Macaca mulatta: one gene and its partner. The protein of the gene in region 2 interacts with the protein of the main gene of each other region in a pairwise test. Links are inferred from orthologs where the notes say so. Each region holds a gene or a part of one and is shown on either strand. Other genes may lie near its edges. The genes, in order: SLC38A7 and SAR1A.

Region 1 (3,815 bases), on a different chromosome or scaffold from region 2:
ATTTTAGTAGAGACAGGGTTTTGCCATGTTGGGACAGGCTGGTCTTGAACTCCTGGTCTCAAGTGATTCGCCCACCTTGGCCTCTCAAAGTGCTGGGATTACAGGAGTGAGCCACCGTGCCTGGCCAATGCCTGGCTAATTCTTTAATTTTTGTAGAGATGAGTCTCACTATGTTGCCGAGGCTGGTCTTGAACTGGCCTCAAGCGGTTCTCTCATCTCAGCTTTTCCAAGTGTTGGGATTATAGGTATGAATCACTGTGCCTGTCCCCTAACACTCATTTCTCTCTCTTTTTTAGAGACAGGGTCTCGCTCTGTTGCCCAGGTTGGAGTGTAGCGGCATGATCATGAGTCTCTACAGCCTTTATCTCATAGGCTCAAGCGATCCTCCCACCTCAGCCTCCAAGTAGCTGGGTCCACAGGTGCATGTCACCACACCTGGCTAATTTTTAAATTTTTTTGTAGAGATGGAGTTTCACCATGTTGCCTGGCCTGTCTTGACCTCCTGGGCTCAAGAGAACCTCCCATCTTGGCCTCCCATAGCTGAGATTATAGGTGTGAACCACAGTGATCAGCCTTATCTCTTTCTAATTTTTTTTTTTAAACTGTACTATTACACTGGTCTTTAAGTAAACAATAAAAAAAAATTAATTTTTTTCACAGGCTTATTTTCTGTCTCCCCAGTCAGAATATGAGCTCCAGGAGAACAGGGATTTGGCTATTTGCCTCTCTTATTCCTGGCTGTGTATTCAGAGGCTAGAACAGTACTGGCCCAGGCAGCTCCTATTGTCTGTCCATGGAAAGAACTCAGGGGATCCTTCTTCCGGGGTCTCCTAGACTTGCTCACTCATCCCAACCACTCTCCACACTGCAGCCAGAGCCATCTTTCCCCGAACCATCCCCCCTGCTTAAAACGCTTCCTCTCTGACTCCCAGAAGCCCTCAAGGTCCAACAGGATCTGGCTGCCAGTGCCTGTCTGGCCTCACTGCCTGTCACCTGCCCCCATCACACACCACTCCAGCCACGCAGACCTTCTTCCTGGCCCCGCCTCAGTGATTTGGTGTTTTGTGGTTCTTCTGTCTAGAACCGTTCTCCCCCAGCCCCTCCTCTTCTGGCTCTTTCTCATCATTTGGGCCTCCTCTGAGAAGAACTTTCTATGAACCACTCCCAAAGCCACCCATCCAGTCCCATTCATACCTTCCCCATTTTAGGCTGGGTTGGTGGCTCACGCCTGTAACCCCAGTACTTTGGGAGGCCGAGGCAGAAGAATTGCTTGAGCCCAGGAATTCAAGACTAGTCTGGGGAACAGAGTGAGACCTTGTCTCTGCTAAAACAAAACAAAACAAAACAAAAAATTAGCTGGGCATGGTGGCACATGGCTGTAGTCCCAGCTACTCTGGAGGCTGAGACAGGAGGATCACTTGAACTCGGCAGGTTGAGGTTACAGTGAGCTATGATCATGCCACTGCACTCCAGCCTGGGTGACAGTTTCTGAGACCCTTTCTCAAAACACAACAAAATAGAACAAAACAAAATACACCTCCCCGATTTCACTGTCATCAGGATGCTCGCCACCATCTGGAATTCCTTACTGATTCCCTAGTTACTCCTGCATGACTGTCTCTCCAACAAGAATGTCAACTCCATGAGGGCAAGACCAGCTCCATCTCTCTCCATGGCATCCCCCACACTGAGAACAGTTCCTGGCACTTCCTAGGCACCAACTTAGAACTGGTGAATGAATGGATGAATACGCCACTCTCATCTTGGCAGGAGGAGGCCCCAGGCAGGCCAAGTTCAAGCCAGTGCCTGCACAAGTCATGCTGGGAATGCAGGGCTGTCCCCAGGAAAGCTGGGCCCCAGGACCTGCGGACACCTGTGGAAGTGAGAGCACTCCAGTCCCAGGTCTAGGGGGGAGCACTCACCTGTCCCCATGTAGACAGCGAGGGCTATGACCATGGCAGCTGTCACCACTCCACCCCAGGTCTTCACTTCCGGCCGCTGCATGCTGTTGAAGACGGGCACACTGCTGACGTGGCACTGTCCAGGCGAAGGGCACGGTCATGGTGGGGAAATGACCTCACCCCCAGTTTTCAGAGGAAGGTACCTTGGGAACAAAGACCCCAGGGACAAGGGGCAAGTCCTGAGGCCCCTGCTCTGTCCTTCCCCCCAGGATTTCCTCCATCCTGCCTGGGTTCCTCCTCCTTCCTGGGTTCCAACCTGGGGTGGGGTGACCTAAGAGGACAGCAGGGACCTTGCAACTGGCACTGGCACCTGAAATCCGAAGCAGATGGTGGGCATGGCATTGAACACAGCCATCCAGGAAGCCGGCCTGTGAACAAACACACAAGGTGCTGCCACCTGGGAACTCCTCGGAGCCACCAACCCACCCCACACCCTCACTTTTCATTCAGCCTAGCATGGTCTCCAGCAACTGGCATTCTATAGGTTCCACCCACAGAATTCTGGGAACAGGGAAAAGAGGCATCCCTCTGTCCCAGGCCCCGCTGGGAGGGGGCCTGGAGGCTCCAAAAAGCCCCCTAGGACCAAAATCCAGAATTCCTGGCTCCTGGACTGGGGATTTTGCTTCACTGGTTTGTTTCTCTCAAAAAAAGGAAATTTTTTTTTTTTTTGAGACGGAGTCTCGCTCTGTCGCTCAGGCTGGAGTGCAGTGGTGCCATCTCAGCCCACTGCAATTTCTGCCTCCTGGGTTCGAGCCATTCCCCTGCCTCAGCCTCCTGAGTAGCTGGGACTACAGGCGCCCGCCACCACGCCCGGCTAATATTTTGTATTTTTTTAGTAGAGACGTAGTTTCACCATGTTAGGCAGGATGGTCTCTATCTCCTGACCTCATGATCCGCCTGCCTCGGCCTCCCGAAGTGCTGGGATTACAGGCGTGAGCCACTGCGCCTGGCCCTGGTTTTTTTTTTTTAAATAATAAATTCGGCCGGGCGCGGTGGCTCAAGCCTGTAATCCCAGCACTTTGGGAGGCCGAGGCGGGTGGATCACGAGGTCAGGAGATCGAGACTATCCTGGCTAACATGGTGAAACCCCGTCTCTACTAAAAATACAAAAAACTAGCCGGGCGTGGTGGCGGGCGCCTGTAGTCTCAGCTACTTGGGAGGCTGAGGCGGGAGAATGGCGTGAACCCGGGAGGCGGAGCTTGCAGTGAGCCGAGATCACGCCACTGCACTCCAGCCTGGGAGACACAGCGAGACTCCGTCTCAAAAAAAAAAAAAAGGTTTAAATAATAAATTCACCCTCAAAGATATAGAAATTACAGATAAGCACATGCTGGAAACATGGGCAATTCCACCCTGGGATTCCACCCTCAGGTTCCTCCACAACCCAAGGCCTAGCCTCACACTGGTTCATCTGTTGGATGTGGGTGGCAAAGTGCCTCCTGTCTCTGATTCTTGCTCTTCCCTCTAGTAACATGAGATCAGGGGCTCTTTCCTCCTTCCTACAATGACCAAGTCAGCCCTGATGAGCTCATGAGCCTTGAGAAGAGCACCTGTGTGGCCTTCTGGTTCCTGACCCAGCACCTGCTGGGGCCCAAGTGGTGGCTTCTTCCCCATGTCTCCTAGGGCCCTCACCCTCACCTGGTCAGGATGTCCCCTGGGGTCATCTCTTTATCTGGCCAGATGTACTTGATGATAACGATGGCTGTGACGTACCAGGTACCCACGACGCTCAGGAAGCTGCCGGGAAGGAGAGACTAAGTGTCCTCATCCCCAGCTGCCTCTTATCTGATTCCACCCCTAGGGACATCCACCTTCAGCTCTAGTGACCACAAGTGTCCACTGAATGAACCAGGA
Region 2 (3,815 bases):
TTTCACTGTGCCAACACTACTTATAAAGAATTACTGTTCGTGGGCCAGGCGTGGTGGCTCATGCCTGTAATCCCAGCACTTTGGGAGGCCAAGGAGGGTGGATCATGACGTCAGGAAATCAAGACCATCCTGGCTAACACGGTGAAACCCCGTCGCTACTAAAAATACAAAAAATTAGCCAGGCGTGGTGGCACGTGCCTGTAGTCCCAGGAGGCCACTCAGTAGGCTGAGGCAGGAGAATCCCTCAAACCCAGGAGGTGGAGGTTATAGTGAGCTGAGACTGCGCCACTGCACTCCAGGCCAGGCAACAGAGAGACACTCTGTCTCAAAAAAAAAAAAAAAAAATTACTGTTCATGATGACACGTGAAATGGAATACTATTAATTAATTAATTATGCTGGGACAACAGGCATAAATGAGGAGTATCCTGAGCAAACTTGGCCATATAGTCACTGTATGATAGAAAAAACAGTTAATTTATTCAAGTTTGAGCTGAGTTTCCTCAGGACATTGAAAAGCAATGTCTTAGATTTAAAACATTTTCCTCCTGCAACTAGGTCTTTTTGCCAAATGTTAACTGGAATTACTAATTATTGGCACTACTGAGCTATATTTCTTAAAAAAAAAAAAATAGAGGCCAAAAAAGGACAAAGTATATAAACATACATTAAGCTCAACTTTGGATTCCACGAGGCGAGAATGATCTGCACAGTCCACCAGAAAGACAATCCCATTAATTGCTGGGAGATAATTTTTCCAAACCCGACGTGCTAAAAAACAAAGTTTGTAGTTGCATCAGTAAAAAATATACATTGTAAAAATGAATAACCTAATGGTCTTAAAATGGACAAATCTTGGTCAGGTTTCAGTAAGATTAGACTCTATGGATTTCTCCAAGTTCTGGCCAGTATTAATTTAGAACAGAGGATGCAAACTAATGGTCCACGAGTTGAACTTGATTTTTGTAAATTTGAAAATCAGAGTTTCCACCTTTCTTGAAAAACTGCAACATCTGGCAACCCCATGCCTACTTATCCACATGACAACTATCAGCAGGAACTAAGCAGTGGCTACCCCTTCAGATGATGTCTGAACACTTTTGCTTGACAAAATGTCCCTGCTGTCTTACAGTCAGCCAATTTTACTCACTTAAATGACTTGCCTTGCCCCTGGAGCCAAGTTGAATTTGCAACCTCTGAGTTAAAACATCAGGATACAAATTACTTGTCCATGTAACTTTAGTCCCAGTTAGTTTCTAGCCAACTTGTGTGTAGGTGTCTTGACACACTCCTCTGCTTAGCCCTTAGGGAGACTGGGCCTGACAAGTGGTTCAAGGCCCCAGGCCAGTTATCTCAGCCTACCATATTTAACCCAGCATGCCTTAGAAATATTACTTGTTTTTTGCTTGTGACATGAAACGATAAAGGCTGGGAAGCAGTGATTTAATTTTACTATCATTTCTAAGCCATTCATTTCTAGCCCTTGCAATAGAATGAATAACGAAGCATCTCTACATCAGTTATTAATGGTTACCTTTAAAGAGTAGAGTTAGGAAAAAGAGGTTGAAGGAACTTTCCATTTTACTTTCTGTAGTTCTATACCGATTTTGTTATATCAAATCTGCTCTCCTTTTATAAGTTAAAATTTTTAAGTTATACAAAAAAAAAAAGGAACCTCCAGATGTACAGTATTTTAGTAACTTCTATAAAATGGTGGCTAGGTTATTAGGTAAAAGTGTTTCTGTTTAGTAGATTTTCCTCAGTCAAAGAAACAAAACTAAATACATCAATACATTTCCCTTCTTATTTTAACAAAACCTGAAACCTAAATTTATCACACCAAACAATCAACAATTCCCAGTTCAGGTATATAAAACCATCTGGTGTCTGTTCCTTCTGCATTCTCCAGATGGTCTAGGTTCAGTCGTATCTTGCTCTGAATTTAAATTTGTAAGCAGTTACAAATCCTTTTGTGGAAAAGCAGAAAGGACACCATATACCCATTCTTACCCAAATGAAAAAAAATACAAGCTCCTTACATAAAAAAGGAAACAAAATCATTTCTAATCCCTCCATCAAAACACACCCCTTGTCAATATTTTGGTATTTTCTTCCAGTCTTTTTTCTTTACTGGTATTTTATGTGATTATGATCATAATATACATGATTTTTTAGGGCATAAATATTAAATAAATTAATTAAAATGTAATTATATGTTAATGAAATAACTGACTATAAAATTATTAGGCTTAACTACTAGAAATGACCAATGTTGTATTTTACTACACATTGTTTTAAAACTGTATTAGGGCCGGGCGCGGTGGCTCAAGCCTGTAATCCCAGCACTTTGGGAGGCCGAGGCGGGTGGATCACGAGGTCAGGAGATCGAGACTATCCTGGCTAACATGGTGAAACCCCGTCTCTACTAAAATACAAAAAACTAGCCGGGCGTGGTGGCGGGCGCCTGTAGTCTCAGCTACTTGGGAGGCTGAGGCGGGAGAATGGCGTGAACCCAGGAGGCGGAGCTTGCAGTGAGCCGAGATCACGCCACTGCACTCCAGCCTGGGAGACACAGTGAGACTCTGTCTCAAAAAAAAAAAAAAAAAAACAAAAAACTGTATTAGGCTGGGCACAATGGCTCACGCCCATAATCCCAGCACTTTGGGAGGCCAAGGCAGGTGGATTGCTTGAGCTCAGGAGTTCAAGACCAGCCTGGGCAACATGGCAGAAACCCAGTCTCTACAAAAAATAGGTGGGAGGATTGCTTAAGCCCAGGAAGTAGAGGTTGCAGTATGCCAAGACTATGCCACTGCACTCCAGTCTGGGCAACAGAGCAAGACCCCATCTCAAAAAAAAGAAAAAAAAATGGTATTAGCTCAACCTAATGTTTCAAAATGAGATTTCTCCACTCAATGTAGTAACAAGTAAGTAAATCTGACAGAATCTCAATAGTTCCTTTTCCCTACCTTCCCAGAATGTTTATTCTCACATCTTAAATGTTTTACTCCTATACCTACTGTCTTGTCAAATGTGAACTGAGTGCCCATTAGACAAAGACGCCCATCCTGTATGTCTCTAAACACCTGATAGGAATCTGGTAGCCAAAGACATAGCCTGAGTAGGCAAAAAGCACTTCTAAGGAAAGCAAAAAGGTAGAAGGAAATGTTCTACCAACTGTCCCAAATGGATAGAATATACAAAATATCAACTTAGAGTAATCACACATAGTCACTGTACTACTTTTGCAACTTTTGACAAGTCTGAAATTACTTACAAATATTTAAGTTAAATTTCCTACATACTTTCACTCCATTGAATAAAGGATGCAAAAATGCTTGATAACTAAATATATGATACTGTATACCTGGTCAAGATGAAAAAATGGTATAAAAGAGATTATCAGGACAACTGACCAAAAAAAAGAAAAAAAAAGGAAATACAGATTGGATAAAAATAAAACTTTCTTGATTTGATAACTATTATGATTATATACAAGGAGATATCTTTGTTCTTAGAAAACGGCACTAAAGTATAAAAGAGTAAAGGGGCATGATATGCTCACAAACAGTTAATAAAAAGTAAGTATTAATATGTATTATGTAGGGAGGAGGAGACTAACAAATTTGGGCAAAAGGTATAGAAGAAAATACACTGGCTTAGAGCAAGCCTAGTTAAAATGATGAAATAATTACTCTTGTTGAGGCAATACCTATATCTTTTAACGTATTTTCTAGTTACCAGGTAAATTGCGTTAATAAGTAAAAACCTAGTAAAGATTAAAATGGCAAGATGCTGTCCTGCTTTGTAAAAATTTTC

Evidence for each region.
Region 1: the proteins of SAR1A (region 2) and SLC38A7 interact in binary tests that used the Homo sapiens proteins (3 or more experiments, as listed by UniProt). The link is inferred for Macaca mulatta from reciprocal best matches to the Homo sapiens genes SAR1A and SLC38A7.

What each region holds. Positions count from the first base shown.
Region 1 is NC_133425.1:54,295,257-54,299,071, forward strand, and holds part of SLC38A7 (sodium-coupled neutral amino acid transporter 7), read right to left. Parts: intron 3,699-3,815; coding exon 3,600-3,698; intron 2,330-3,599; coding exon 2,272-2,329; intron 2,038-2,271; coding exon 1,923-2,037; intron 1-1,922. UniProt on the Homo sapiens protein: Symporter that selectively cotransports sodium ions and amino acids, such as L-glutamine and L-asparagine from the lysosome into the cytoplasm and may participates in mTORC1 activation. The transport activity requires an acidic lysosomal lumen.
Region 2 is NC_133414.1:79,473,578-79,477,392, reverse strand, and holds part of SAR1A (small COPII coat GTPase SAR1A), read right to left. Parts: intron 771-3,815; coding exon 667-770; intron 1-666. UniProt on the Homo sapiens protein: Small GTPase that cycles between an active GTP-bound and an inactive GDP-bound state and mainly functions in vesicle-mediated endoplasmic reticulum (ER) to Golgi transport.